Lonchura striata: one gene and its partners. The protein of the gene in region 1 purifies or fractionates together with the protein of each later gene. This does not show direct contact. Links are inferred from orthologs where the notes say so. Each region holds a gene or a part of one and is shown in the gene's direction. Other genes may lie near its edges. The genes, in order: SRC, MET, PXN and CDC37.

Region 1 (7,403 bases):
CTTCGCCCATCCCTCGCTCCAAGGACCAAGACTGGATGATTAAGGGGAAACACCCTGGTGTCTGCTCCTGCTCTGCCTGCTCAGGCTGCAGGCAGGCCAGCAAGCAGCCGGGTGCTGGCAGGGAGGGAACATCCCAGCCCTGGGGCAGGGTCTCCTGGAGGTGGCTACCAGAGCTCTGCACCAACCAGCTGTCCCCTATTGCTCTGCTACCAAATCAAGCCAGAAGCAGGGCAATAAATCTCGTCTGCATGAGCTTCCCTGAGTTTTTCTGAATTGCCCTTGTCTATGGATACTAGACTGGCCAAAAAGCAGAATTTCCATGCTGGGAGATGCCAACATCTTGTGTGTGGCTTTCATGCTGAGCTGAGGCAAGAAGCAAAACGAGTCAGATTTTTGCCCAAACGAGCTTTTCCAAGATACTTAATTCAGATTGTACCAAAGCATATTTTATCAGTCATAAACCTGACAGGAAATGTTGTGCCTTTATTGACCATGCAGATAATTTCAGCCCACAGCTGTTGAACTCAGTGCCTCCTTATTAAATATTTGCATGTCACCGAGTCAGTGGTTTCCCCTGCAGCCCTTTCCCCCAGGGAATTTTGCAATGACACTTCCTGACAGGAGCTAAGGGCCCCTTTTGCATAGCAGATTGTCACCACGATGGGGGACACAACAGGTCCTGAGTCCTCCTGGTAATTTCTTCTCAGATAAACCTTTTTCCTATAACCTGCAAGATGCTGCTCGGCTCCTGCAGCTCTGATGCTCAGTGTGGGAGAGAATGGCCAAAATGAGCATTTCTAGCATGAAATATTGCCAAATGGCTCGTGCTGCAGGGTTATTCTGGTCAATCCCCCTTACTAAATCAGCTCCTGAGCTTGAAACTGCAGCTTCCCTAACAGGGCTGATGGTGCTGATCATTTCCCATCTCACACCACTATTTGCAGGGCTGTAAAGCTCAATGATCATAAAATCTCAGGGCAAGAGCCACGGCTGCCTCTCTCTCAGGCCAGCATCTCAAACACAACCATTACATTACTAATAGTAATAATTCCTGCAACTGTATTTGCAATTTGCAGTGAACAAAGTGCAGCCTCAGGAACAGAATCCAATAGACAAAACTTATTCACGCGTGCCAAGGGGATGCTTAAAAATAAAGCTGGCTGGAGATGAATAGATGTTTTGTTGTAAATCTGCAGTTACGTTAGGGAGCTCAGGGCTCAGATCAAATACTGGACACAACGAGCACCCTCTTACCTCACAGGAGGATTTTAGGAGCCCTGTGGAGCAGTTTGATCTGCACACCTGGAAGGGAAGGAGCCACGTACTTACTTACTTACTCATGAGCATGACAGCATCTGCCCACAGTAACTCTCATTCTTCTTGTTGCTGATGAAACTCGTGTAAAGGTCAGCAAGAAAACACAGAAATACCTGAGCATGTCTTAATTTCTTTTTCAAGTATCATTTCAAGACGTCCTGTAATAATCGAGCCACTGGAAATACTTGGTGCTACTTTTTGTTCAGATTGAAAGTACCTGGTTTTCAGTTTCTATAACCCGCTTCCTCTCTCTGGGGTGGGTTTTATCAGCGCTATTTAAAAGTGAAGAATCATATCAAGAAAATAAGTTTCGGACAAGAGACTGAAATCCCTGGTTGGGTGAAAAAAGCATCAATTTGCATTAGACTGCTTAAAGATAAGTATTTGGAGAGAGGCAGGAGGCAAAGGGAAGTGGGTGGCCAGGGGATATCAGGCTCCAGACCTCATGTCCGAGCCAGGAGTGTCCTGAGGTGAGCTGTGTTGCTTAAATGGTCTTAAATCACACTATCACCAGCAATTCGTGTTTAATGTCAGCCTTGTGAGGGCACATTCCAGCATTTGAGACCAAAAGATAAGAGTCTGGGTTTAGACAGTGTCTGTTTGTAATTTTGGATTTTCACATTGGCATCATCTTAGAGGAAGAAGAAGAGGTTGTGTCGTGGACTTGGTCTGGCTGTTGAAAGGCACAGCGCTGTGGGTGTTTGCCTTCCAGCCATGGGCCGGCACCGCCAGAGATGGGAACTCCGATTGGGAGGACAGCCTGGAGAAAAGAAGTTGATTGCAAAAGAGAAAAACAAAATACAAATATTTATAAGTCACAATTGCATCTTAGATTTGGGTCTGGATCCAGCAGAGGCTGAGTCATCCTCACCGGCTCGCCCGGGGCTGGAGCACCCGCGGGGTGCTCTCCCCTCCGGCAGAGCTCCGGGCTGGAGTGGGTGCTCCTGCCGTGGGGAGGGACAGGGGAGTGTCCCCGTGTCCCTGTGCGGCGCAGCAGGGTGAAGGTGACCCCCTCTTTCCCCCACGTTACAAGCAGAGCAGTTCCCTGACTGCCCCACAGCACGGGGTGAATCCATCGCAGAGCGGATGAGGAATCCTCCCCTCCACAGCTGAACAGCAGAGGGGCTGGGCTGAGAATTAACACCCCCGAGCCCCGGAACCAAGCGGGCTGCGGTGGGATGCTCCGGCACGGAGCAGGCAGGGCTGCCACCCCCCCGGAGCACACACGCCACGGGTGTCCGGGGAGCCCGGGCGGCCTCGCCCAGCCCTGGGACGGAGCCGAGAGGGAAAGCGGCTCCTGCCCGGCTGGAGGGACCTTATCGGCGCCAGCTCCTCCCAGGGAAGGGCCCCTCGCAATGCGCTGGCCACGGGTGATGGATCGGCGCGTGCATGACTCCTTGTTCCTGGTGACTCATGGATTCGCTGGCCTTCGCCAGTGTCATGGGAAATATTTTTTTAATAACTCAAAAGGCGGAGGGGGAGTGGGAAACAGAAATTTAAAAAAAAAAAAAACATCACCACCATAGTTCTTTAAAAGTTTTTAACTTCCCAATTTGTTTCTGAAATGTCGGATCTTCCTCAGAGGAAGGAGGGTTTTCAGAAAACCCCCGCGGAGTGGCTGCAGGGTTGGTCGGAGGGGTGGGCAAGGATGGCAGAGGTGGTGCTGGCTGTGGAAATACAAGGGTCGCTGCAGCCGGCCAGCAGCCGAGCGTGCCGCATAAAAGACCTAAATGTATGTGGGTTTAAGGAGTGGACTGCTTCACCCCCTTTCTTCCTGGAGGGTAACGTGACAGGGAACACTTCAATGGATCGCCGGTGGCTGAGGTGGGAGGGCTGCCAGCGCCGCTGAGCTGGTCGGGCAGCCCCGACGGGCTGGGTGCAGGCATCGGGGCACCCGGCTGAGCCCTGAGCCCGTGTGTGCACCCCGGAGACAGGGCAAAGCTGGGCATTTCCCACCTCCTGCTGCTGAGGAGCAAGGGGAACGACGGGTGGAACTGTTCCCGCGTGCCCACCTGCCTGAGTGGAACTCGGGGACACACACACCTGAGGGGGTGATGCTGCCAGCTGGAGAGTGCCCTCCCCAGGAACACCCGCAGCTCCGTTCTGCCTTGTTTTGGATCCGGCACCGGCTTCAGGGGCGACCGGGGCTGGGAGATGTTAACCCCTAAACCCATGGACGCCCCAGCGGAGCACAGACACCGCTGCGTGCCCGTGCTGCCTCCAAAGGGCCCCACAAAGTTCCCCGGGTTCCCAGGGAGGCCCAGGACGTGGTTTATCTTTGCCCGCTTTTCCATCTGAAGTTTTGCCTCCTTCCGACTTCAGAGAAGGGGGAACGTGGGTTGCAGCCCTCTGGGAAGCCGAGGTGTCCCTCCTGGGGATGGGGAGGAACACAACCTGACAAAACAGCATTTCCCCTGCAATTCGCCGTGTGTTAGAGCTGTTGAATAAAGCGAACCGCAACCCAGCCAGGAGGTTTCAGCCTCCTGAAAATCACTTTTGTGTTACCAGCTCCTGCTTCCAGGTAACACGCCGAGCCAGCCCGCCGGGACGAGCAGCGCTGGGCTCGGGTGGGAGCACCCCCAGCCCCTCACCCGCGGGGGGACGCGCCCTGAGGACCGCGGCCGCCGCTCCCACGCGTGTCCCCGGCGCAGCCAGGCGGTTCCCCCGCCGCGGGCCGGGACGCGCCGGCAGCGCCGGCGGCGGGGGCGGCCCCTGGCCCGTGCGCGCCCCGCGGAGCCCGGCTGCCCGGAGCCTTCTCCCTGGAAAAAAAAAAAAGCCACGGAGGGAGGGGAGGGGCTGCTGCTGCCTTTCCCCCCATCCTCCGTTTCCGGTTTGCTGCCATATTACTCTTTTATTTTTTTTATTTTTTTTTTATTTTCCCCTCCCCGTGGTGCTGCCCCCCGCCCCGCAGACGGGGTGAGCGGGGGCGGGCGAGGCACCAGCGCGCCGGGGCCGCGGCGCTGCGCGATGCTGCTGCCGGCGGCGCAGCGCTGAGCCCGGCCCGGCGCGGGGCGGCGCGGGCACCGAGCGCGGCGGCGGCGGCGGCGGCGGCGGCGGGGGGCGGCGGCCGCGCCCCCGGCGCGGAGACAAAGCCGGGGCCGAGCGCTGGAGGCGAGCGGCGGGGCGGCCCCGTCCGCGGCCAGGCGGAGGTGAGCGGCGGCGGGGCTGCCCAGCTCGGGGGCAGGCGGCGGGGTCCGGCGGGGGGTGCCTGGGTCCGGCCGTGGATCCGGCGGGGGATGCCCAGGGTCTGCCCGTGGATGTCCGCAGTGGGGAGCGGCGGGGCGGCGGGGCGATGCCCGCAATGGGATGCCCGCAGAGCAGTCCGGCGGGTCGGCGGGGAATTGCCCGCGGTGGCGCGGCTGTGGGTCCGATCGGGGATGCTGGCACTTCGGCAAGGAGGCGGTGGGTCCAGCCGAGCCTGCCCAGGCTGCCGTGGGGCAGCTGTGGGTCCGGCAGCGTGGGATACGCTGCCTGCGGATCCCCGCAAGGATGCTGGCGGTCTGGCGCCGGGTGTCAGTGGGGCGGCTGTGGGTCCAGCGGGATGCACATGGTGTGGTGGGTCAGCCGTGGGTCCGGCTGGGGGTGGCACTGCCTGGCGGGGCAGAGCTGGGGGCGCGGGGGTCCGGCGGGGCGGCCCCGCCTGCCTGCAACTCCCCTTTGTTGTGCTCGGGGGCTGTGGGGGACCCCCGGGAGCGCAGGGCGGGGACAGCTGGGCTGTATGTAGGCCAGGACATGAAATATTCATCGCCCCCCTGCTTTGATGTCTCGTGATCCGCTTCCCTTGTTGTGTTTGTTCACCGGTGATTCTGGGGCCAGTGTCCAGCCCTGGTGGACCTGGCAAGTCGTGCCCCTCCTGTGCCCCTCGCTGTGCCCCTCGCTGTGCCCCTCCTGTGCCCGCCTGGCTCAGTTGCTGGGGGGCTGCAGAGCTCTGGTTTCTCCGATTTAAGACTTCATCCAGTCGGGAAGTTCCTCGTTGCAGCCTGGGCAATCCGGCCCCCATGCGTGGCTGCAAGTGGTGGCAGTGGTGTGTTCCCACTGTCACAGCCCCCAGTGCCATGGAAGAGCACCGTGGGCTTTGCCCTGAGCCACACTGGGGTCAGGATGAGGTTTTATCCTGCTCACTGCCCAGAGAGGCTGTGCTGCATCCTGGGGCCACTTGGGATGGACACAGGAGGCAACCTGCAGGGATGGAACTGCTGCACAGGGCTATGTGCACGGGGACAGGTGTGGTAGGGGGCTGGCATCTTGTGGCACTGATCCTGGCATGGTCCTCTCTGGTGTCGGGCATCATGTCAGGGAGCAGAGCAGTCTCGTGTGAGACCTGCTGGACTGAGTGGGGATCTGCTCCACCTCCCTGTGCCCTGCACAGTGCACTCTCCTCTGGCATTTCCTCACCCCAGTGGCTGCTGTGGTGTGCCAGGGCTCAGCCCTGGACTTGGTGCCAGGAGGTGACTGTGGTCCTGGTCCCAGTCCCAGAGATGTTGAGCAGCAGTAAAGGTTGTAGGTGGCAGGGAGCAGGTTGTGCTTCCCTGTGTGTGCCATGGCCCATCCTCTGGCTCCCCAGAAGTGACGCAATGGAAGGGACATGATGTGACATGCAGCCAGGTGTCCCACAAGACAGGGGCATTAGGAGCTGGGGGCAGTGGAGGGTGCAGAGCACAGGGTTCCCTGAGGTGAGCTCCTGCCTGTGCAGCACAGAACATATCCAGCAGTGCTCTATGAAACTGCATGAAGGCAGTAACAAAAGACTTGATTTTTCTTTCTCCTGCCCATCTGGTGCTCCCAGAGGAGGAGGTGCTGGGGGTCTTTGTTGCTCTCCTCTCAGCCAAGGAGATACCCACTGCCAGCATGACCAGTGCAAGAACCGAGTCGTGACGAACCTTCCCAAGATCCAGCCATTAGTGATGGGAATCCTTTTGTCCCTGCTAGACTTGGAGATGCCCCTCAGAATCCAGTGGCTCAATGTGAGCCCAGGTCCCCCGTGCAGCAAGTGTTGGTCAGACAGTCACAGGGCTGCCCAGGAAGGTGTGAGGAAGGGGATATGGAGGATGACATCAGCAATATTGCACTTTAAAGAAATATCCTTTCTGTTATTTTTACTGTTGGGCTGCTCTAGACACCTTTGCCATAGAGCTTACCTGTGCTAAGCCATCAGCTTCAGCTGGCTCCAGATCCACCCAGAGCAAAACCGTGGCACTCGGTGTCTGAGCCGAGGCTTGTGTGCTGTGTCTCTGTAATCATTAGCCAGTTAATGCTGATATATCACGAAGGAACACCTTTGCTTAGGAGACGAGGGTCAATTCTCACTTCCAAGCTTTGACCTGGGAGCAGCAGGGCAGGGGCTCCTCTAAACACCTCCTGGCTTCACCAAAACAGCCCAAGACAGGATTATTTATGGGCTACACAGCAGCAGCAGCAAAGGGAAGTCCAATGTTCCCTGTCTCGATCGTTAGTGGCCTTGCAGTGCTCCCTGTGTGATGGAGATGCCCTAATGATAGCTCTGCCCTTTAATGACTTTGTGCCAGAGTGATGGAAAATCAGGGAGGTTCCGAGGGGAGGCAGAAAGGGCCATCCCAGCCCCTGGCTGGGGAGCAGGGGATGAGACGAGGAGAACGCTGCGGTGACCAACCAGTGTGGTGGCTCTGCTGCAAAGACAAGAGGGTCCTCTTCTGTCTTGGTGGCATGGAGGGGACATCAGCTATCCTGAGACAAGGTTGGCCTTTAGCAGCACGGGCAGGTCCTGCAAACCAGCATCATTTCACTGGACTCACTGAGGCAAGCAGGGGATGGACCATGGGACTCTCACGTCTTCAAAATCCCATCTGTCTCTCCCTGTTACTGGTGTGGGATCCTGCCCGGCCTTTGAAGTCATCACAGAGCTAAACTCTTATCTAATGAGACCTGAAGGACTTGGTCTCCAGCCTCTCATTTAAACAACCAGCAAACGCCTGTAAGATCTTGAAAGAGAAGAGGTAGGAGCAAGCAAACAGCTTGCACCTCCTCCCAGCATGTCTAAGCAGGGCATCCCTGGGACAAAGCACTGGACTCCTGGCACGGCTGTGGGAAATTGGAAAGCCTATCTGAAG
Region 2 (7,869 bases), on another chromosome or scaffold:
GTTTATGCTGAGCTATGCTAGAAAAGTTCTCTACAGCATGTTCTGGAAAGCCTTTGCTGCTGCAGTGTGAGCTCAGTGAATGCACCAAGGGCTACTGCACTTCCATCATTTTCAGGGACATGAACACAAAGACTGTTCAGCTTTCCATGCCTGAAATGATTTCTTGGGTTTGTATGTTCAGAGGTACTCATTCAGGGGTTTAATGCATTTCAAAATCACTAGGAAAGAAGGCAAGGTTCAGGTGGGGAGCAGTGAGAATCACACCATCTCTTCCTCTGCCTTCTGGAGGCTGAGGTGCTCCCTCCAGTTAAGCTGATGTAATGTTGTGCTGCCATGAGCCCACCCTCCTCCTGGATTTCTGACCTTGTCCTTTTGCAGCACTAGCACTCACATTACTGCATAGCAGATGGATTTGAAGAGCTAATCTATCTGTAAACTAATCTATGTTCTTTTGACTGATTAATTTTTGCTGGATTCCCGAACTTCATGTACCAGTTTCCCATGTGATCACCAAGGCTTTGGGACTGGCACAAAAAGGACACAGAGCCATGGCAATCCAGACTTCAGATGCAATAGCCCCATAAACATTTTCCTCCATTTTCAAGAATTATACTTGAAGCATTCACCATTTGGATTTTAGAATGGCCCAGTTGTGGTGTTTTTTTACAAGCAGAAAGACAAACAAGGAGGAAAATTTTATCAAGTTAAACAGAAAAACTTCCCTTTGCTCAAAAGTCACCTATAATCCACAGTGCAATATGTGGAAGCACCCTCGGTTATGATCTGTGTTTCTATACAAATGGAGAACTGTCTAGGGTAGCTTAGTGGTTAGAGATTAGAACTTCTAACTGCAGGCTTCTATTCCTGGCTTTGCAAGGGACTTTTGCAACCACCAGTCACAGGCTGAAATTTCTTCCAGTGACATTGTTGACCCTCTTACAAACAAACAGAAAGTACTTATTTAGTTATCAGAAGCTATGGGTTTAGTTAATAAATGGCTAGACAATAAATGCCATAAAATGCAGTGATGATCAAATCTTTGGAATCTAGAGATCTAAGTAGTAATTGTGATATTTAGCTCAGTTTCCAGAGAGGCAAACAACACCATGGGCATTTTTTCTCCAAAGCCCAACCCCCAGTCAACACTGTGTCCCTTCCCACTGTGTGCTTTTTGAGCCCAGGAAAGACAGTGAAAGACAGATTGTGTCAGAGTGACTTGAAGGGACAAAGTAGTCACAGGAAAATGTGCCTCAGGCACAGCCCCTTCCCTGAGCTGCCCCTGGCATTTGCAGCCAGGCTGCCTTCCAGTGAATAAGGGTCTACAGGAAATACAGCTACACATTACCCCAGCAGTCTGTCACACTATAATTTTCCCCTTGGATCACTGGTATGTCAGGCAGTTGAGCTGGGTGGGTTCACCTAAGGCTCTTATTTTGTTTATCAACCTCCAGAGATACTCAGACTCAGCTATTCTGAGTCCCTGTTGCAGGGTTCTGCAACAGGAAGGTACCTGATATCCACCGCTGTGAAGCTCAGCTCTAGAGATCTTTGTCTTGTGTGTTCTTAAGCATTAAATTAATTCCTTTCCGCTGTCTTGCTCCTTCTGAAATCATTTACTCATGAGTAAGCTCCACTAAGTCAGAAGTCTCTGGAGCTTCACAATGACATTTGCATTTTATATTTGCTCCCAAAGGTGTGAATGACTGCAGCAGAGGACAAAGAGTAAATCCTCTGATGCTACCATATAGCTGTGGTGCCATGTAGTAGAGTGTGGTTCTGCAGCAATGCACAGTAGATTTATGTTTGATTCTGCACTTCTAGAAAATGTGGTTAGATCCAGATTTGCAGAGGTATTTAAATATATATTTTTTCTTACTGAAATTAGGTATAAATTGGATACATAATTCTATAAACGTCATTTTGCTACTTGTAGTTATGATAAATAATTTCTCAGGTTCTGAACAGAAGTCACAATGAAACCCATAAAACTGAAGTGGACACATTAGTGTGTTGAGATGCACTACTGCCAATGTACAGAAATCATCCTGTGTTTTCATTCCTCATGTTTACACTTGAAAGTTTAAGTTCAACATAGCCTTGCAATTCATTTTCTAACTCTATTTCTGTATTCTTGGAAATGTGATAGGGTTTGCTCACCAGCTTCCTATCTCAAAACACATCAGGGCTGGAAAGGATGTGCCAATATACTCCCCAGTGTGTTCCAGTTCTCTTACTGAGCAGATCACCCTCATAGACTCTCCTTCACACTTTTGAATTGTTTTTTCCAGTGTCGTCAGCTTTTTAAAATGTGTCACGCCATCTTATGCCAGACTGAAGAGGACCAGCTCCTTTTGGACAGGGAAGAGAGATTAGGAAAACCTATAAAGAGACCAGGATGATGACTAAGAAAGTCAGTTTCTTTTTCACCCATAACTGCACCTTAAAGCTACTTCAAGCCTCTGAGAAGTTGTTCATGGTGTACACATGGTGCAAGCATGATGAAAGGAGTATCAGATGATTATCAAAGCCTCAGTGCAGTGTAACTGTCTCATAAAACTAACCTAAAATAACATGGCATCAGCATGGTCAAAATGGAAAGGAAACATCTGTTTCTCCTTTTTATGTTAGTGACAATCCATTTGTTAGTTTTAGAATAGCACAGACTGTCCCACTGATAACAGCCTGGGCGCTGGCTGCTCAGCCCAGGCAGGTGCACAGTGAACTCAGGAGCAGGCTAACAACAGATAATATGAGGGGCTGTCCTTAGAATGAGCTCTGGATTTAAATATTTTTCTTTATCACTTTATTTCAAAACCCTTAAGGAAGATTCTTCCAAGTCTGGTGTGGCTGTACTGGTGCACCGTACAGTAGTAGTGCACAGCACAGTCAGCAGTGACTGACTGATCACTAATTGAAGCCCAGCAAGCAGCACAGTCTAATTGTAGCCTTGCTTTTCCCTGGGCGGGGGTGGGGGGCATCCACACTGTCTTATTTTTCCTAACTATTGCTGAATATTAATTGAAATAAAGGTTATTGAAGTAAATTGACAGATTTCCAGACACTTGAAAGAAATGAGATTACATCAGTCATGAAGTTTAACAGAGACAAGTGCCGAATTCAGCACCTGGAATGGGACAACACTGGATGTATGGATAGACTGGGGAACAAGAAGTTGGAGACTATCACTGTGGAAAGGGAGCCAGGATTCCTGGTTGATGGCAAACTGAATTTGAGTCAGCAGTGCCCTGGCAGCCAAAAAGACTAACCATGTCCTGGAGGGCATCAGGCATCACTAACTGGCAAGGGAGGGGATTATCCTGCTCTGCTCTGCACTGGGGCAGCCTCACCTTGAGTGCTGGGGGCAGTTTTGGGCACCACAATATAAGGAAAATATAAAGCTCCTAGAGAGCATCCAAAGGAGGGCAATGAAGATGGTGAAGGGCCTTGAGGAGAAGCCATATGAGGAGTGGCTGAGGTCACTTTGTCTGAAGAAGAGACTGAAGGGAGACCTCATTGCAGTTACAACTTCCTCTGAAGGGGAAGCTGGGGGGCAGGCTGCCCTCAATCATGCATCTGTTTTTGCACAGAACTGGCTTATAGCTAGGTTTGATGTCTTTATCACTAGTGCTGGCAAGTCCAAAGGAAAGAGGAGACAGATAAATTGTGAAAGACTAGCAGAAGACTAGCAGAAAGGTGGCTAACTGCTTTTTTAAAACATTTTGTTCTGTTGTACAGCTTTGTACACATCCTGGTGACATCCAAGGCCTAAAACAAATACATACAATATTTAATTTTCCTTACAGAATGTTTTGATGTAAGATCTGACATTTTTCCCATGGTTAATCATGAAACTGGGCAGTGCTTCTTACAGTTCCTTGTACTTCACTCATGAAAAACGTTCATCGGTTTAAATGGTATGATTAAGGGCAGCAGAGTTGGGGCCAAAAAAGGAAGCAAGCAAAGGGAAAATAGATGTCTCCAGTAACTTCTATTGGAATATGGAGCCTTTCACTTAAAATCTGGTTTAAATCAGTAGCTGCTGAAACTCGTTACCAGAAAAAAAGATGGATCTTTGCTGCATGCCCCAGTGTTGAGACTTGCAGTCTCTCGGCAGCTCCACAAGTGTACATTGCACAGGCAGTATTGCTGAGTGACTCAGTTTCTCAGCACCTCTGAAAGATGAAGTCATCATCTGCTTTGCAAACCTTGTGAGGGAAAAACCCCAACCTGTGCAGTTTACTACCCTGTAGGAAGCACATATGGGGGAAGACAGCTACTTGATAGTCTATATAAACTGAGGTCATTTGTTTGAATTACATGTGGATAGACATTTAAAGCACAGTCAGCACTGACACCATGATAGTGCAATATGGGCTAAATTTGTTCACTACTACACAGCCTAGGGGGGGTCTCAGGACAAACCTAGGGGTGCCCATATCTTGACCTCTCAGGGTTAGGCTTTAGCATCAGTCAGGCACTGACACCTGATGATGGGTGCCCTGCGGCTGGGAGTGAGGAGGGAGGCTGTGCCTGCACACCACTGGTACTCACTTGGCCTGAAAACGCCGAGGTGCAGAAGGTCCACCAAGGGTCCCCTCCTGGCTTTCCCCATCTGGGGAGCGACATCCATCCCTCCTACCCCTGGGCTGGGGGCCTGGCCGGGAGGGACGAGGGGCAGAAAGGAGGGGAGGGGGAGCGAGAGAAGGAGGCCCCCCTCCCTCCTTCCCCCCACCGCGCACCCGGGCTCCTGCGATGTGGTGAGTCACAGGCAGGTCAGGACCGCGCCGGAGGGGCGGAGGGAGCGCGGGGACCGGCTGATTTACCGCTGGGAGCCGCCACCAGCGCGGCGGAGGCGCCTGAGGGAAGGGCGCGGAGAGCCGCCCCGCAGCCCAGGTGCCGTGCGGGAGGAGGGACGCCCGTGCCCGCCGGGGCGCGCAGCCCCTGCCGCCCCAGGTAGGGACAGCAGCGCGGGGCTGGGGCTGGGGCTGGGCCGGGGGCAGCCTGAGCCCGCGGGGCGGAGGGAGCGGCGGAGCGGCGCGGGGCCGCGGAGGTGCGCCGGGCTGCGCCCCGCTCCGCCCCGCCCGAGCCGGGCCGGGCCGGGCCGGGACCGCGGAGCCAGCCCAGCCCAGCCCAGCCCAGCCTGCCGGGGCGCAGCGCTCGCCCCTCCGGCGGCGTGCCGGCGCGCAGCCCGCTCCGCTCCGGTAAGGACCGGCACCCGTGGGGGGACGCGGGGAGCGAGATGAGCCGGGGAAGGAGGAGGGCGGGCAGCGGCTCGGTGCTGGCCGTGCCCCGCCCGGGAACTTCGCGGGAGCGCGGCAGCCGCCGCTGCTCTGCCGGGGCGGGCCGGGCGCGGCGGGGCCAGGTGACAGCGGTGCGGGGCTGCCGGCCGGCCCCGGCCCCGGCCGGGCTCCGCAGGGCGCCGGCGCCCGCGTACCCGCGAAGCCGAGACGGGGTAGGGCAGGGCGGGCAGCGCTCCCCGGGATGCTGCCGGCAGCGCCCCTTGGCCGCAGCCCGAGCCGCTGCCCCTCCCGCCCCTTCCCGCTCTGCGGGCGCGGCAGGAGCGCGCCGCGGGGCAGTGTCCGGCAGTGCAGCCTGGAAGTTCCAACTTGGAGACGGTGGCTCCGCGTTTGTGGTGGCCGGTCCGACCGCCTTCCGCGAGGCGCAGGGTGAGCCTGCGGGATTCCCCAAGTTGGGGATGTGTACTTTATGGTTTCGCTGCGTTCACAGTTTTCCTTACGGTATGGCCTTTTCTGTTGTTATTGTTAGGGTTTTTGTTGGGTTTTTTTTTGTTTTTTTGGTTTTTTTTGGTGGTTTTTTTTTTTTGGTTTTTTTTTTTTTTTAATTCAATTTTTAAAAGCAGAATTTGCTTCGAACGGTAAACAAATCGCAAAGAGCTCATATAATGGCATTCCACCACTGTTTCTATGTCAGCATTAAATTATGTGGTCTTAGGCTTTATAAAACTGAATGCACTCCTTAGAAATTGGAAGTTTTGCACATACATCAATAGGCATTAATAATCTAATACCAGTGTTGTTTAACAACCTGTGCGTTTGTAACCTGTAGGAGGTTTATTCAAGCGGCAGTGCATGCTTTTCTCGAAGAACCTATGCCCTGTGTGATAGTTCATTTGCTTTCATCCCACAGGTGCTTTTTTCATTGTCCAGCAGCAAAAAGAGGATGGTGTCTCTTTTTTGTTGTCTTTTTATTTTAGATCTGAGAGGTTTGGATTCATAATCAAGCAAGGGTCTCACATGTTTCTCAGAGAGCTGGTTAAATGTTTACAGATCATACACTGTGAGAGCAAAAAGCTAGCCTTTGGCAGGAGCTGCATGTTGAAAACAAAGTAACTTGCAGAATGACTGTATCGCTTGTTCTTTGTGCCATAATCCTTCTTCAGCACTGTATGATTCTTTTTCTGTCTTCTAATACAAACTGAATCATTTGGAAACTGGGATATTTTGTAAAACATTCATCTCATTATTTGGAGAAGAGAGAGTCAACTTCTGTGCCTTTTTGGTGGAGAGGGAATGAATTGTCTTTATTTTCCTCTAAGGATTTTCTCCTTTTTTCTCTTTTTTTTTTCCCCCCAATGTTTTCTTCTTTTTTTTCCCCTCTTTTTTCTTATTCTTTTTCTTTTTTTCTTTCAACTTTTTTTTTTTTTTTTTTTTTTTTTTTTTTTTTTTTTTTTTTTTTTCCTTCAGAGGTTAACCACTGCATAGCAGTTCTTTATTGGTAAGCTAAAGTGCACATATTGTGGCTGGAGAGGGGTTCATAGATGTGTTATTTGCTCAAGTGTAGATGACAGTGCAGCCATAGATGGATGGGAGCTCACTGAGTCAGAGCAAGGCTGCCAGAATGCCAAAATTCAGTAGAGGTTCAATGAAAAGCTCATGAAAGCAAAACTAAGTAGCAAGTATTGTCTTCCCAGTACTGCCTGTCCCATCCTGATTCTCCTGCTCTAATGGTTTTCTAGTACCTCAGCTGATGACCTGTAACCTCTTCTTGCTTGTCCAATGCAATCAAACCCGCCTACTCTTATTCTTCTATGATCTGCAAATATCTGCTCTGTATTTTTCAACTCAGAGGAGAGATTCAAAGTCTGCTGCCTCCCAAATCTGGCTTCCAGAGCTCGAGAGAATAACTGGCACAGCTGGCTGCAGTGTAAGAGCAGCAGTCTTGCCTTCACAGCCACAAAGGGAACCTGATGCCGGCAGCATGCTGTGCTGGGGTAGCCAGAGAGGCAGAGCTGCAGCGGTGGGAGTCACAGAGCACTGGGTGATCTGCTTTGTGCCATGATTGCTTTGTGGTGGGCATGTGTCTAGACTTTATTTGCTTCAGGCAGAAAGCAAGGAGAGGTCCTCCATCTCCATCTGTGTTTGTGAAATATTTAGTGTAAGGGAAATCCTGCTTGGGCTCTTTCAGCACTATACATCATTTCTTGAACAAGAAAGGGATAGGGTAGTTGAACAGCATTCTCTGAAACTACAGAAACACAAAATTCAGTAGTGGGTTACAAGGATCTGTTTGGTGCAAAGCAGAAGGAATGCATGCAGTGCATGACACTTCAAACACACCTTGCTAAGATTTTGGGTGGCAACACCACCTTTGTGGTGGGTTCATGTGAAAACCTTATGTCCAGGATTTCTACCTTCCTGTTGCTACCTTACTGTCTGTCCTTTGAGCTGGTGGCACAACTTCATGTTTCATTAGGCTGTTACCCTCAGATGAACCATCAACCTGTGCATCTTGTCTGCTGTGGCCATAGTTAGTGATTTTGCTTCCTATGCAAAGGTTGTGTTTGGTAATTAAACCTGTGCAATGCACCACTGGTGGTCATGCCACATTGCCTCAAGCAGCATGCCATCA
Region 3 (7,435 bases), on another chromosome or scaffold:
GGGCGGGGGGCACAGCTGGGAGCGTGCAGGCGGGAGCGAGCTGAGCGGGGGGACTCGCCGTGAGGCTGGCGGTGGCCCCGGGGCGAGTGCTGGCAGCGGCGGGTAAACCCGGTCAGCTTTGCGCAGTGGCAGTATCGTAGCCAATGAGGTTAATCCGAGGCGCGATTATTGCTAATTGAAAACTTTTCCCAATACCCCGCCATGACGACTTGAAATATAGTCGGCATTGGCAATTTTTGACAGTCTCTACGGAGACTGAATACTCTGGTGAAAAATAGACTAAGACTAGCTCCGGTGATTGTATTGTGCTGCGTGGTCTTTACCTGGCGGCGGGAGGGGGCTCTCACGGAAGGTAATACGGCTTCTCTTCTTTCAGCGCTGCCAGGGCTTGCTGCCGCTAAGACCGCGGTTTAATAAAATGAGGGCGCTCCTACGTTGAAAGCTCCTTTCTTTTTTTCTCAGTTACTGAAAAAGGAATCGGTCAGTGAAAACGGAAGTGGAGTGGCTTAGGTGTTGTAGAAAGATTTCTGGAGTAGCTCTTGCTGAGGAGAATCCTTAGGAGATTAGCCTCTCAACAGGCAGAGAGGAATCTAGGGGGAGTGAAAGTCTGAATCGTGCTTCCCCAACTGCAGGAGTCCTCTAAAACCCATTAGAGAACACTTAGTGTACTAAGTACTGTAAACTCCATTTTGTGTGCAGTTCTTTATTGACATCACTTGCTTTAAGAAAAAAAAATGCAATAGAAAAATGCTCCTTATTGTCAAAAAAATCACAAACCTTTGCTCTGGAAAAAGCAGCTGCTGGTGTCAACTCCTATTATATAAGTAAACTGCATCCTTTCCTAATTTGCAGCAATTGAATAGCTAGGCAGACCCTACGGAGGGAGACTAATGACCACTGCACACTGGCCCCGCTGAGGCTCCGCTGCAGCTGGGAGCAGCTGCTCTCCGTCACTCTGTGTGAGTGAGATGTACCTCCTGGTGCTGACAGCTTGCCTCTGACATTCTCTGTATGGGCACAGAACCAGATCCACGTGTGCCATCCCGATGCTCCTACCCTGCCGGTTAGACCTTGAGCTGGGCAGCTGCTTGAAACTTCGGTAGAACAGAAAGCTTAGTAGTGAACATCAGTCTCTTAAGAATTACTATTATTTTTTAAAATAACATTCAGTCATGCTGGGGTATTATACACAACAGTGACCAAGAGTGACAGTGAAACCTCACAGATTGCCTTTGTCCCCCCCATTTGTTCCTATTGCCAGAAATATCAATTGAAATCAAACTCTGAAGCACAGGGATGCCATTACCCTTTGGCAGAATAAGCCACACTGGTAAATAGCAAAGGCATATGTAGTTTGCAGTGAGTCATACACTTCAGGTAATTTCTTGATTCTTATGAACTGTATTGATAAGTATTGGATTTATCACTTGATTGTTTCTCATCTTTGCTGCCAGAATTGTCTGTGGTAATGCCTTGGTGTGGTGCTTTCAATCTGCATTGCAAAGTCACGTCCTACATCTTATGCCAGAAACCAAGCTTGTTCATTTTGCTGTAGCAGATCCTTTCAACAAACATGAAGTTGAACCTCGAATGTGGGAGTTGCATGCTGTGATTTACTGCTATTGCCTGAAGCCCAAAGCTCTGATTGAAAATTTTTTCCTTGCATTCACCTGAAGAAAGAGCAAAATCCCCTTGCATGATGTTCATGTGGCACAGCACAGAGGGCACACACTGCAATGAAGGCACTGTCATTGCTCTGCAGTTTCAAGCCACTCTCTGGAAAGTGCACAGGTAAGTTCTAAACATGCCTCACAGGCCAGTGTAGCTTTATTTCTCTTCTCTGACACAGATTGAAAATAACAATGCTTTTCTTCGCTGGTATTATGAAATGAGCTTGGATCACTCCTGTTTGGCAGCCAGTCTGAAATGACAGGGCCCAGGAGGACAGTTAATCCATCAACTCTGAGGGTCTTGTGTGTGGTCAGTGGGTTAAGCTGCCCTTTGAGGGACTTGGTCTGTAACTGGTAAATGACTCTTCAACAAGAGGGAAAGATGCCTTGAGCAAGTACTCTGGACACAGATTGTGTGGAGTTAGGAATACTCTGAACATGGATTGTGTGGAGACAGGAAGCCCTAAAGTTCAACATTTTGTTGATGTTAACTCACTGTCTAACTTCATTTCCAGTTCCCAGCCCTGTTTCCCATCTGCAAATGGGGGTGGTAACTTCTTGTTACACCTTATGTGAAAGACAAGGGTAGATCAAAATGTCTCAGCTACGGGGCACAGCATAAGAAGAAGGCCTGTGTATTTCTAGTAGCAAGCAGGTGTCCGTGAGTCAGGGAGAGTCTGAGCCAAAGAACAGGTAGATGATGGGGAAACAGGAGTTCAAGGCTTTGGGAAGGACAGAGCTTGAGCCCACAACACTGACAAGTCGCCTTGGCAGCTGGGGTTTTAACCTGCCCCTGCTCCCCCAGCTCTCATGGGAGGGTTAGGGACTGGCAATTTTAAGTAAGAAATATCAATGTGTGAATAATTCAGTTATAAACAGCACCTGGCTGTGAGCAGCTTGCTTTTAAAAGCAGGCTGTCTAGAGGATAGTATCACTCATGGGACAGCCCTGCCTTCCCACCCCACCAACACTTTCAGTGCAGTGCAGAAGCCATAGGCAAAGCTTTAGAAACAATTACTTTTTTTTTTTTTTTTTTTTTTTTTTTAACACTGACCATCTTAGACACAACCATTTCTTGTGGGAGCAACCCTAACTGGTTCTGTGACAACTTAATTCCAGCCCTGAGACACAATAGAAACTGCTTTCTTGATTTACATTCACTTTCAGACTCCCAAAGGACACAGTAGGAAGCTGAAAATAAAAATGGCATACCAGGCTACAATATGAACAGAGCACAGTAGGCACTTTATTTATGCAGAGGTAAAAATACAACCCAACTTGTGGCACATGCTTGTCACATGTTGGTGGAGGAAACATACAGACCCCAGGAAAGGACTCGTTTCTAATGACTTTACATCTGCTCTGTGACCAGTCAGCGCTAGTGGTTCATGTTGCTCCACCTGGGGATGCACATCCTGATGTTGTCATTGTATAGCCAGTGATGGATTTTGAGAAAATTTTAACAGTCCCTCCAAATAATGTTTTACATTTTGCTGAGGGAGACCAGCAAGGGGGATGTCAGGTGAAATCTTTGGCATGGATAGTGAAGCATGCAATGAAATCTTTACTTACATTTGTGTTGTACTTAGATCTCAGTAAGGACATTATTTTCTGACAACTGTATTTGGAGTAAAAGCTGGAATTAATTTCTTGGAGGTTTTTGACTATTCATAAGCATTGGCTGGGATGAGGGAGGAGATATTTCCCTGCCCCCCTAACGATAATTCCCATTAAAGCATGACTTAACACAGGAAATAATGATGTCTGACTTGTGCTAGCAGGGGAAACTGGGCATGTTTGTACCTAGAGAGTGAAAAATGCAGCACTGGAGATTGCTCACAGCTGACCTCACGGTCTCTGTTTAATGGAAATACAATTCTGTAATCTCAGCTCAACAACAGGACATGTGCTGTTCAGTTCTGGGAACATTCTCTGACTCGGTAGTAATTTTGTAAGGAAAAGAGCTACAAGAGTCATGTTTCCTGGATCCTCGGCAGTTCCCACACTGATATTTTTTGGTGTATCTCTCATCAGATTAAGAAGTGGACATTTGGGCTGAGCAACTGCATTTACTGCCATGTCAACTTGGCTGGAGCACTGTGGGAAACAGTAGCTCTGGTGAGGGTTGAGCTGTGCTGTGGCTCAGACAAAGCGAGGACTTTGCTGCCTTGGAGTTGTTTTATAGAGGCTTGAAAGGAAAAACACGTGGGAAATGATGGTTCAAGGTCACCACATGAGAAATCCAGGAGGGCTCTTATAGTCTTTGAACACAGCAAAAGAGAAGTAGCTGGTGACTTTCCTTTATGGTGGCCACAGCGTATGGAAAATTGCTCAGGAAAGGTTTCTGCTGCCCAGCTTCCCTGGGATGGGGTAATTCAGCTGAGGCTCTGAAATGTTTGAAGGTTTTGGGGCACAACTCTCCCGCACCACCCAGCCAGCCCAGCGCGGCTGCATCGCTGCCCCGGGACATTCCTCTGGGGAAGGTCCTGCTCCTGCAGGGAGCAGCGCGGGGCTCGTGTGGCGTTCGCGCTCAGTCTCGGACGCGCGTGGGGCCGCCGGCGAGCGGGGCAGGCCTCTCCGGGGCAGGCCTCTCCGGGGCACACGCCGGGCGGCGGCTCCGGGCGCTGCCGCCCCGCCCGGCGCTTCGCGGGGCCCCGACCCCGCGCCCGCTCCGCGCCCGGGCCGGCGGCTCCCGCGGCGGCCGGCAGGGGGCGGCGCGCAGCGCGCGCAGCGGGGGCGCGCGGGCGGGCGCGCGCGGGGGCGGGCCGGGAAAGTTGCGGGCTCTGAGGCGGCGGCGGCACCGCGGGGCGGGAGCGGCTCCGGCGCGGCGGCAGCGGCGGCACCGGGCACGACGGCACCATGGACGACTTGGGTGAGTTCCGAGCCGCGCGGGCTCCCCCGCGGCGGGGGCCGCCTCCCCGCCGCGCCCCGGGCGGCGGCGGCCGCGGCCCGCCGGCCACGCTGCGCCCCTCGGCGCCGCGGGGCTCGGGCCGCGCCTGTCGGCGTCCGGGGACGTGTCGCTCCCCGCGCAGCGCGCCGGCCGGCCCGGCTCCCCGCGCCCGGGCCCCGCGGCTGGGCTGTCCCGGGGCCGCCGCAGCCAGGGCAGGCGGTGGCTGTCCCGGCCGGGAAGGGCGCCCGGCGCTCCTGTGCCCGGAGCAGCGTGGGGCGTACTCGGGTTTCAGCAAACATCTCCTCCCTGCCCCGCCGCAGCCTCTCCAGCCTGTTCTTGGGCGAGATCTGAACTTTGCGCGGGTATGGAGTGGGGAGCCCTGCGGGGATAAGCGGAGCCCAGCCGCGCTTGGAGCTCATCCTCGTCCTCCCTCTGCTTCTCCCAGGTGTGCTGCATTATACGGTTTCCCGAAACCATGTAATGGAGAAATGTCAGGCAACTGGTCTCAAGGGAAGGATCTAGAGAATTTGAGTCCTTTGGGACCAAGCCGGAAAGGGTGTGGATCTGCCAAAATCCCTTGTGCTCTGGGAGGCATTAGGACGACTGAGTTCCGCTTATGAAACCGATTAAATCAGACACTGGGGAGGGGCTGTGATCCGTTACTTCCATCCTACCTTTAATAGAAACCAGACGTTCTGTTGACATATAGTCCCAAGAAAATTGCAGGTTTATTTCTGGACCTGGAAGCTCATACTACGGTGATGGCATAAAGCTGGTGGTCACACCTTCAGAAAATAGACTTTGAATTGGGCTAATGATAAAACTTAGAGGGTAAGGAGTCCATCTGCTGCGTGGCTTTCTGGTGAAAGGTGTGCCCATGGAGGATTCATCCTTGGGGAGTGAGACCTTCTGCTTGAGTGAAGTAGCTCTTGGTGGGAACAGAAGTAATTTCTACTGCAGCTTCTTTTCATGGTTATTGTTCAAGTGGAGACAGCTCTGTTTACCTTTTCTCATATCCCTCATTCTGGTTATCTCTTGGAGATTTGGTGCGAGTTCCTAGCATGTTCAGGAATGCATTGCTAGTCAGAACAGGATTCACCCAGTCTGTGTATTGACTTGATGGGTAGCCCTTCAAGGTGAGCATACAGGTCAGTGTAGAGCCAGTTTAGTGTCTCACCATCAGTAAACCATGGGAGCCTCACTGTGCCCACTGCAAGAGCTGCATTCCTAAACGTGGTAGTGTGACTTTCCAGCTGTTGGAATAGGCTGCTGCAGTCCCTTAACATTTTTTCTTTCATCTGTAGGAGAATTAGAGGTGAACTGCTAAGAAATTGTGAAAAAGATCTGAAATTGTGCCTGGTTTGTTTTTCTGAGCTCTGAAGAGTATTTGGACAACCAAAAGTTAGACCTTCTAATCTGAGCAACTTGATTTCATCAAGTCTTAATTACACTGCGTCTGTCTCAATTTTTGTGCAGCCTTTCAGACTGGACAAGATCTAATTAACAGTAGGCAGCTGAACAAAAAAGTGTGACCTTTTCTCTCTCTAAGCTTTTCTGTGGTGTACAGAATTCACCATGGAAAAGCACACCAGCTGTTTTTCCTCTGCAAATCATTGTTAGCCCCAAAATGGCTCACTTACTGCTCTAAAGTCATTCACCTTGGGATCACACATAATGGAACTGTGCTGTGCTGATACAACTCCCCTGAAATAAGTCAGACTTTCGAACTCAAGTGAGAGTTGTTTGTTTTTCTTTCCTCATTATCTATGGGTGGATTATCTGAGTTGTGGATTAACTGTGCCATGGATACAGACGTCTGCACTGGCCCTGTCCAGAGTCAAGCTGGTTAGGCAGGACTTGTTGGTTCAGGCACACTGCCATGTGGGCAAAGCTGCTCTGCTTCCAGGGACAGTTTTGGCCCAAAAGGAGTTTGATATTGAACTGGGACTTGTAGGTGCAGAGTTGATGTCAAGTTAAATCAGCTCAGATACTTCCATACCTCGCTTCTGAATCTGTGTGGCACAGAAATGAGCAGTGAGTGAAGGGCCTTGCTGGGCATGAGTGAACCCCTAACAGAGACCATTGGTGTGTCTGTTCTTAACTCCTTGCTGTTGTCAAAAATCTCCTTCTTTTTCCTAGAGCTGGAGGATTTGATCAGTCTGTACATGTCCAATGTAAAATGGAGGTCCAGAAGTATCTCAGTTTTGTTCTTGGACTGGAGAGTTTATGAAACATATGAAAATGGATTTGTCTTGCTTTGAGGATTCATTTGGAGTTGAGAAAAATCTTTGTTCCCTTTTTACCCCCTCCCCCAGTGTTGAAGAAGCTCCCACAGGAAACTTTCTGCAGGCTGGAGCTGTGCACCCTGTTGTTCTGGAGGAGCCTCTGTGGCACAGGACACACAGTGCTGGGCTGGATGTAAACTAGAACAGCCCGTGGTGGGAAGGGGGAGGAGAGCAGCTGGCCAGGCTTGTCCAGATCGTCTCCCTGCAGCCTCTCTGAGGAAGCACATTTTGCGGATGTGCTTGGAGTTTGACAGGAAGTTTGCTGAATGAATTTGCTGTCCTGCAGTGCTGTAAATTGGCACAGCTTTGTCCTAAAGAGTGAGAACCCAGATTTGGGGCTCTTGTCCCTTTCAGGGGATTGCCAAAGCACAGCCTGTGCTTCCAGCACACAAGTGATCATCCACACATACTTGCTTCAGACAAGCTGAGGCACTGAGATGTTGGGTTACTGGTTTGGTGGTGCTACCTTGTCTAAGTAGTATGAAGGAACAGATCCATTAGGATTTGCTTGTTGCAGAGGAAGAAACCTAATTTGTGTAAACTGTTATGTATTTATGGTGACAGGAGTAGGAGAAGAGAAACTTTAAATT
Region 4 (7,113 bases), on another chromosome or scaffold:
TTTTCCCTTAATTTTCTGGGGGAGGGGGAGGAATTTTTGGGGAGAAAGAACAAAAAATAAGGATTTACCACGTGTTTAATTAGACCTGTTACCCGTTATCAGGTAAGGAGGAGCGTGACTGACGCAGGGAGCGGCGACTCCTCGGGAGCCGCTGACCCAAATCCATCTATTTTTATAGCAGAATATTAAAAATATCCCCCAAAATCCCCCAAATCGCCGTTCCAGAGAGGGTGAGAACCTGTTTTGTGCTCCCCGAGTTCCTTGGAAGCAGCTTGTGAACCCCAAGAGGGATCAAGGCAAGTTCTGGGGGGTCAGTGGCACTGAAATTCCAGGGATTCCTCTGGTACCCCCAAATCTGGGAGGGAGAGGATGTGTCTTGTCACACTTCCCCCCTCTCCCTTCCCAAATTCTCCAAAATGGGCAATTTTTGCCCCAAATTACTCCACTTTCTGGAGTTTGGCCACTTGGAGCCTCCTGTCCAAAAAAAGGGCGGAACCCCACCTCAAAAGCCCCGACCCTGAGTTCCCCCATACTCCTTTATCGTCATTATTATTCTTAATTATTCTTAATTATTATTCTTATTAATTATTATTGATGTTATTATTATTATTATTGCGATTCTTATTTATTTTCCCTTCGCTGTCGGGATAATTTCTCACTTTTCAGTGGTTTATTTCCCATTTATTTCCTATTCTTCCCTGTTTTTTCCCCTGATCCTGGTACTCCCCGGGACCCTCTTTTTTCCCCCCAGACCCCTCCCCCAATCCCATCCCAGCTCCTGGTTTTTTTGTGTCGTGCCTGTGTGAAGCTTCTTGTAGTTTTAATTATTATTAATATAAATATTTAGGAGCGACCCCCGTGTCCAGATCCGCCATCACACCCCCCACCCCCCCAAACTCTGACCCCCACCCCCTCTCCCAGGGATCCAGCCCTGGAATTTGGGGAGGGGGCCAGGGGACCCCCAGTTCAGTAGCAATAAGGGGTCCCCACCTCAGCCCCGGCCCATTTTTGGGGGGCCCAACGTGGGGACAAAAGGTGCCCACCCTGGTGGCACTGCGGGACCCCTCGGAGGGGACCGGGACCCCCCCGGCCCCCACCCCTGGACTCGACTCTTTGTATTTTTCATGGGAAAAAAAAAAATCAATTAAAAAATTTAAAAGGCAGAATTTGTACGTGATTTTTGCAGGGAGGGTGCGTCCGTCCGGGACTGGATGGCTGAGGGACTCTCGGCCATTTCCCTCACGCTTCCAGCTCTTTTCCCCTCATATTTCCTGCCCTTTTCCCCTCACATTTCCCTCTCTTTCCACCCTCACATTTCCCGCCCTTTTCCCCTCACATTTTCTGCCCTTTTCCCCTCACATTTCCTACCTTCTTCCCCTCACATTTCCTTCTCCTTTCCCATCACATTTCCCACCCATTTTCCCCTCACCTTTCCTGCTTTTTTTCTCCTCATGTTTCCTATCCTTTTCCCCCTCACATTTCCCACCTTTTCCCCCCTCACATTTCCCTCTCTTTTCCTCTCACCTTTCCTGCCCTTTCCACCCCCACATTTCTCACCTTTCCCCCTCACATTTCCCACCTTTCTCCCCTCACATTTTCTGCCATTTTCCCTTCACGTTTCCCTCCCTTTTCCCTCACATTTCCCTCTCTTTTCCCCTCACATTTCCCTATTTTCCCCTCACCTCTCCTGCCCTTTTCCCCCTCACATTTCCTTCTCCTTTCCCATCACATTTCCCACCCATTTTCCTCTCACCTTTCCTGCATTTTTTCCCCTCAAGTTTCCTGCCCTTTTCCCCCCTCACATTTTCTGCCCTTTTCCCCTCACATTTCCTACCTTCTTCCCCTCACATTTCCTTCTCCTTTCCCATCACATTTCCCACCCATTTTCCCCTCACCTTTCCTGCTTTTTTTCTCCTCACGTTTCCTATCCTTTTCCCCCTCACATTTCCCACCTTTTCCCCCCTCACATTTCCCTCTCTTTTCCTCTCACCTTTCCTGCCCTTTCCACCCCCACATTTCTCACCTTTCCCCCTCACATTTCCCACCTTTCTCCCCTCACATTTTCTGCCATTTTCCCTTCACGTTTCCCTCCCTTTTCCCTCACATTTCCCTCTCTTTTCCCCTCACATTTCCCTATTTTCCCCTCACCTCTCCTGCCCTTTTCCCCCTCACATTTCCTTCTCCTTTCCCATCACATTTCCCACCCATTTTCCTCTCACCTTTCCTGCATTTTTTCCCCTCAAGTTTCCTGCCCTTTTCCCCCCTCACATTTCCCACCTTTTTCCCCTCGCATTTCTCACCTTTCCCCCTCACATTTCCTGTCTTTTTTCCCCCTCACATTTTCTGCCTTTTTTCTCCTCACGTTTCCCACTCTTTCCCCCTTCACATTTCCCACCCTTTCCCCTCACATTTCCCACCTTTTTCCCCCTCATATTTCCCTCTCTTTCCCCCTCACATTTCCCACCTTTCCCCCCTCACATTTCCCACCTTTTCCCCTCACATTTTCCACCCATTTTCCCCTTTCATTTCCTGCCTATTTTCCCCTCACATTTCTCACATTTCCCCCTCACATTTCCTGCCTTTTTTTCTCCTCATGTTTCCCACCCTTTCCCCCTCATGTTTCCCTCTCTTTTCCCCCTCATCTTTCCTGCCCTTTTCCCCTCACATTTCCCCTCACATTTCCTACCTTCTTCCCCTCATATTTCCTTCTCCTTTCCCATCACATTTCCCACCCATTTTCCCCTCACCTTTCCTGCATTTTTTCCCCTCATGTTTCCTGCCCTTTTCCCCCCTCACATTTCCCACCTTTCCCCCTCACATTTCTCACCTTTACCCCTCACATTTCCCGTCCTTTTCCCCCTCACATTTTCCACCCATTTTCCCCTCATCTTTCTCACCTTTCCCCCTCACCTTTCTCACCTTTTCCCCTCACATTTCCCCTCTCATTTCCTGCCTTTTCCCCCTCACATTTCCCACGTTTTCCCCTCACATTTCCTGCCCTTTTCCCCTCCTGTTCTCCCCTTTTTCCCCTCCTAAGTAACCCCTCTAATTAAACCCTTTTAACCAATGAAAAAAAGGTTTTGCTCCCTCAGTTTAAACCTCAAAAATGGAAAAAGGCATTCCCTCTATGTTTAGACCCCTAAAATGGTGGATAAAGGGGGTCTCCTCCCAAAATAAGACATAAAAATGGTGAAAAGGGTGGAGTTTCCCTCAATTTAAACCCTTAAAATGTTGGATCCTGCCTCAATTTAAATTTTTAATGGAATTCCTACTCAATTTAACCCCACAAGAGGCCTCCTCCTCCCTTTACTGGTTTTCCTTCAAGAAACACAAGTTTTGGGGCTTTTTGACACCATTTTCCCTGTAAAATCCCTTAAAATCGAGGGGCCCTGTTGATGGAACTCTTAAAACGTCCCATAAATAATCTCCTTTCAATTTAAACCCTTAAAAACGATGGAAAACAGAGATTCCTCTTCAATTTAACTATTTATGGAATTAAAAATTTGGATTTATCCTCAGCTAAATCCCTATATAATAGAAAGTAGTCATTCCCAGTCAATTAAACCTCATCAAATCATGGAAGAGGAAGGCTTTTCCTTCAATTTAAACCCTTAAAAACGATGAAAAACACAGATTCTTCCTCAATTTAACTATTTGAGTAATTAAAAATTTGGGTTCATCCTCAACTAAATCCCTAAAATAATAGAAAGTAGGGATTCCTAGTTAACTAAACCTCTTCAAATCACTGAAGAGGCAGGATTTTCTTTCAATTTAAACGCTTAAAAACGATGGAAAGCACAGATCCCTCCTCAATTTAAGTATTTAAGGAATTAATAAATAGGATTTATCGTCAACTAAATCCTAAAATAATAGAAAGTAGGGGTTCCTAGTTAACTAAACCTTTTCAAATCAGGATTTTCCTTCAACTTAAACCCTTAAAATAGTTTGAAAGACTTTATTCATTCTATTGACTCCTTTACACCCGCAGGTAAAAACCATGGCGCATGCCTGTGTGTGTGTGTGTGGGGGGGTGTGCTCGTGTCTCTTTAAATCCGCCGCCATCTTTGAAGAGGGCGCGGCTTGGCGCGGGCGGCGAGCGAGGCCGGGCGCGGCGCCGGAAGTGCGTCAGGCGCGGGCGGAAGCGGGCGGGGGCCGGAGGGAAGGTGGCGGCGGCCGCGCCATGGTGGATTACAGCGTGTGGGACCACATCGAGGTCTCGGACGACGAGGACGAGACTCACCCCAACATCGACACCGCCAGTCTCTTCCGATGGCGCCACCAGGTGCGGCTCGGCCCGGCCCGCGGCGCTCTGCCCCCAAGCCCCGGGCCTGGCGCGCCCAGGGAGGCCCGGTTCCCATGGCGACCGGAATTCCCGGGATTCCCGGAGGGACGGGGGAGGCACGGGCTGGGGATCTGTTGTTCGTGGGAGCCCGGGGGTGTGGGGGGCTCTCCGTGTTCCCGCAGGACGGGGAATGGGGGGGGGTGTTGTTCTTTTCCAGCTCCAGGGGCTCCCGTGGGGCGGGGGCTCCCCGCATTCCCGTGGGATCATCCCTGGAGCCCCCGCGGGGAGCTCCGCCATCCCAGCACGGCCCGGTTCCCGTTCCCCATCCCGGCCCGGTTCCCGTTCCCGGTGCCTCATCCCATCCCAGCCCGTTCCCGGTTCTCTATCCCAGCACGGCCCGGTTCCCGTTCCCCATCCCGGCACGGCCCGGTTCCCGTTCCCGGTGCCTCATCCCATCCCAGCCCGTTCCCGGTTCTCTATCCCAGCACGGCCCAGTTCCCGTTCCCCATCCCGGCACGGCCCGGTTCCTATTCCTGGTGCCCCATCCCATTCCCCATTCCCGATGTCCCATCCCAGCCCGTTCCCCATTCCCAGTGCCCCATCCCATTCCCGGTTCCCCATTCCCAGTGCCCCATCCCATTCCCTGTTTCCCGTTCCCGGTGCCCCATCCCATCCCACTCCCCATCCCATCCCATTCCCCCATTCCCCATCCCATCCCATTCCCGGTTCCCCATTCCCAGTGCCCCATCCCATTCCCTGTTTCCCGTTCCCGGTGCCCCATCCCATCCCACTCCCCATCCCATCCCATTCCCCATTCCCGATGTCCCATCCCAGCCCGTTCCCCATTCCCAGTGCCCCATCCCATTCCCGGTTCCCCATTCCCAGTGCCCCATCCCATCCCACTCCCCATCCCATTCCATTCCCCATTCCCCATCCCATTCCCGGTTCCCGCTGCCCCCGGCATCTCCCGCTCCATCCCTGCCGTGCCCAGGGGCTGCTCCTTCCCTCGGGAATCACCTCAGGGTGAGGGGGGGGTCCCAGCCCCCCAAAATCCCCCTGCGTGTCCCAGGATGGGGCAGCGACCCCTCCGAGGGCTCACACCCAGCTTTGGGCCGTGGGAATCGCCAGAATTCCAGATCCTCCCCAATTCCCTACGGAAAAGCTGCAGCTCCCTGGGGTGGATTTGGGGGTTCAGCCCCTCCTGAACCCCCCAAAACCCCCCCAAAACCCGGGAGCGAGGCGCCCCAGCTCCTTCCCTGCCGCCCCAGGCCCGCGTGGAGCGCATGGAGCAGTTCCAGAAGGAGAAGGAGGAGCTGGATAAAGGCTGCCGCGAGTGCAAGCGCAAGCTGGCCGAGTGCCAGAGGAAGCTGAAGGAGCTGGAAGTCGCCGAGCCGGAGAGTGGGAAAGGGGAGCTGGAGAAGCTCCAGGCCGAGGCCCAGCAGCTGAGGAACGAGGAGAAAAGTTGGGAGAACAAGCTGGAGGAGCTGAGGAAGAAGGAGAAGAACATGCCCTGGAACGTGGACACGCTCAGCAAGGATGGCTTCAGCAAGGTGCGGGTTTTTTGGGGAGAAAACCCCCCAAAAAAAGCACCCCCAGCGTGTCCTAAATCCCCCAAGTCATTCCCTGCCTTCCTTGGCATTCCCAGAGTGTTTTCAACGTGAAGGCCGAGGAGAAGGAGGAGACGGAGGAGCAGAAGGAGAAGAAACACAAAACCTTCGTGGAGCGATACGAGAAGCAGATTAAACACTTTGGTGAGGGGGTTTGGGGGGCTTTAGGGAGCTGGGGGACGCTTTTTGGGGTTCTCCAAGCTTGGGAACACCCCCCGTGGTGGGACCAACCCAGAATCCTCTCGCTGCGCTGAAAAATTGAGGATTTTGTGTGCTTTTTCCCATTTTTTTCCCCCCGCTGAAGCACAGTTTGGGGGGAATTGGGTTAAATTTCACGATGAGGTGCTCGCCCTCCTGGCCAGCCTCATCCAGGCGGAGTTTGGGGTTTGTTCCCCGGCTGAGGAGGGGGAATTCTCCTGGTTCCCGGTGGCAGGGATGCTGAGGCGCTGGGACGACAGCCAGAAGTACCTGTCGGACAACCCTCACCTGGTGTGCGAGGAGACAGCCAACTACCTGGTCATCTGGTGCATCGACCTGGAGGTGGAGGAGGTGAGCAGTCAGGCTGAAATTGGGGTAAAAATCCTAAAATCCCCAACTTTTGCAAGCTGGAGCTGCCTTGTTCTCATCTCTCCGGATTTCTTCCCGTTTTTCCTGCCAAAAAAAACCCGAGAGGATTGAGGACTTACAAGGCAGGAGAGGTGGGAAAAGATCCTTAAAATCATCCTGTAGAAGCACCCACCTTTCCTTGGGAGAGAGGTTGACACCTCTCCTGCAGCTCCAGGGTTTTTCTGGGATGAGGAGCCCACAAAATCAGGGAATTTGGGATTAATTTGGGATCAAACAGCTCCTAAAGAGCATCGAACCTAACCCAGTCTCATCCTCAATCCAACTTGGGATTCCCTGACCCAAATCGCCTCCTCCTCACCCAAAAAGGGGTTTGGCCGAGTGGGGAATGGGGATTTTGGGAGATCTTGGGGGGATTTTGACCCCGTTTTCCCCCCAGAAACACGCGCTGATGGAGCAGGTGGCCCACCAGACCATCGTCATGCAGTTCATCCTGGAGCTGGCCAAGAGCCTCAAGGTGGATCCCAGGGCTTGCTTCCGGCAGTTTTTCACCAAAATTAAGGTAAAAATCCCCCCTGGACTCCCCAAAATCCCTCCCTGAGGCCGTGTGCACCCCAATTTCCACAGGTGTAGCCTCAAATTCTTTCCTTTTCCCAAAAT

The links.
Region 2: the proteins of SRC (region 1) and MET purify together in Homo sapiens (co-immunoprecipitation; 4 studies listed by BioGRID and IntAct, with this or other methods). This does not show direct contact. The link is inferred for Lonchura striata from reciprocal best matches to the Homo sapiens genes SRC and MET.
Region 3: the proteins of SRC (region 1) and PXN purify together in Homo sapiens (co-immunoprecipitation; 4 studies listed by BioGRID and IntAct, with this or other methods). This does not show direct contact. The link is inferred for Lonchura striata from reciprocal best matches to the Homo sapiens genes SRC and PXN.
Region 4: the proteins of SRC (region 1) and CDC37 purify together in Homo sapiens (affinity purification with mass spectrometry; 3 studies listed by BioGRID and IntAct, with this or other methods). This does not show direct contact. The link is inferred for Lonchura striata from reciprocal best matches to the Homo sapiens genes SRC and CDC37.

What each region holds. Positions count from the first base shown.
Region 1 is NC_134619.1:9,505,576-9,512,978, reverse strand, and holds the start of SRC (proto-oncogene tyrosine-protein kinase Src), read left to right. Parts: upstream 1-4,389; 5' UTR 4,390-4,466; intron 4,467-7,403. UniProt on the Homo sapiens protein: Non-receptor protein tyrosine kinase which is activated following engagement of many different classes of cellular receptors including immune response receptors, integrins and other adhesion receptors, receptor protein tyrosine kinases, G protein-coupled receptors as well as cytokine receptors.
Region 2 is NC_134607.1:34,614,234-34,622,102, reverse strand, and holds the start of MET (hepatocyte growth factor receptor), read left to right. Parts: upstream 1-4,851; 5' UTR 4,852-4,953; intron 4,954-5,131; exon of another isoform or gene 5,132-5,201; intron 5,202-5,536; exon of another isoform or gene 5,537-5,738; intron 5,739-7,869. UniProt on the Homo sapiens protein: Receptor tyrosine kinase that transduces signals from the extracellular matrix into the cytoplasm by binding to hepatocyte growth factor/HGF ligand. Regulates many physiological processes including proliferation, scattering, morphogenesis and survival.
Region 3 is NC_134620.1:4,910,714-4,918,148, forward strand, and holds the start of PXN (paxillin), read left to right. Parts: upstream 1-4,431; 5' UTR 4,432-4,529; coding exon 4,530-4,542; intron 4,543-7,435. UniProt on the Homo sapiens protein: Cytoskeletal protein involved in actin-membrane attachment at sites of cell adhesion to the extracellular matrix (focal adhesion). Recruits other proteins such as TRIM15 to focal adhesion.
Region 4 is NC_134623.1:1,357,856-1,364,968, forward strand, and holds the start of CDC37 (hsp90 co-chaperone Cdc37), read left to right. Parts: upstream 1-4,112; 5' UTR 4,113-4,180; coding exon 4,181-4,282; intron 4,283-5,550; coding exon 5,551-5,832; intron 5,833-5,927; coding exon 5,928-6,033; intron 6,034-6,322; coding exon 6,323-6,438; intron 6,439-6,892; coding exon 6,893-7,015; intron 7,016-7,113. UniProt on the Homo sapiens protein: Co-chaperone that binds to numerous kinases and promotes their interaction with the Hsp90 complex, resulting in stabilization and promotion of their activity. Inhibits HSP90AA1 ATPase activity.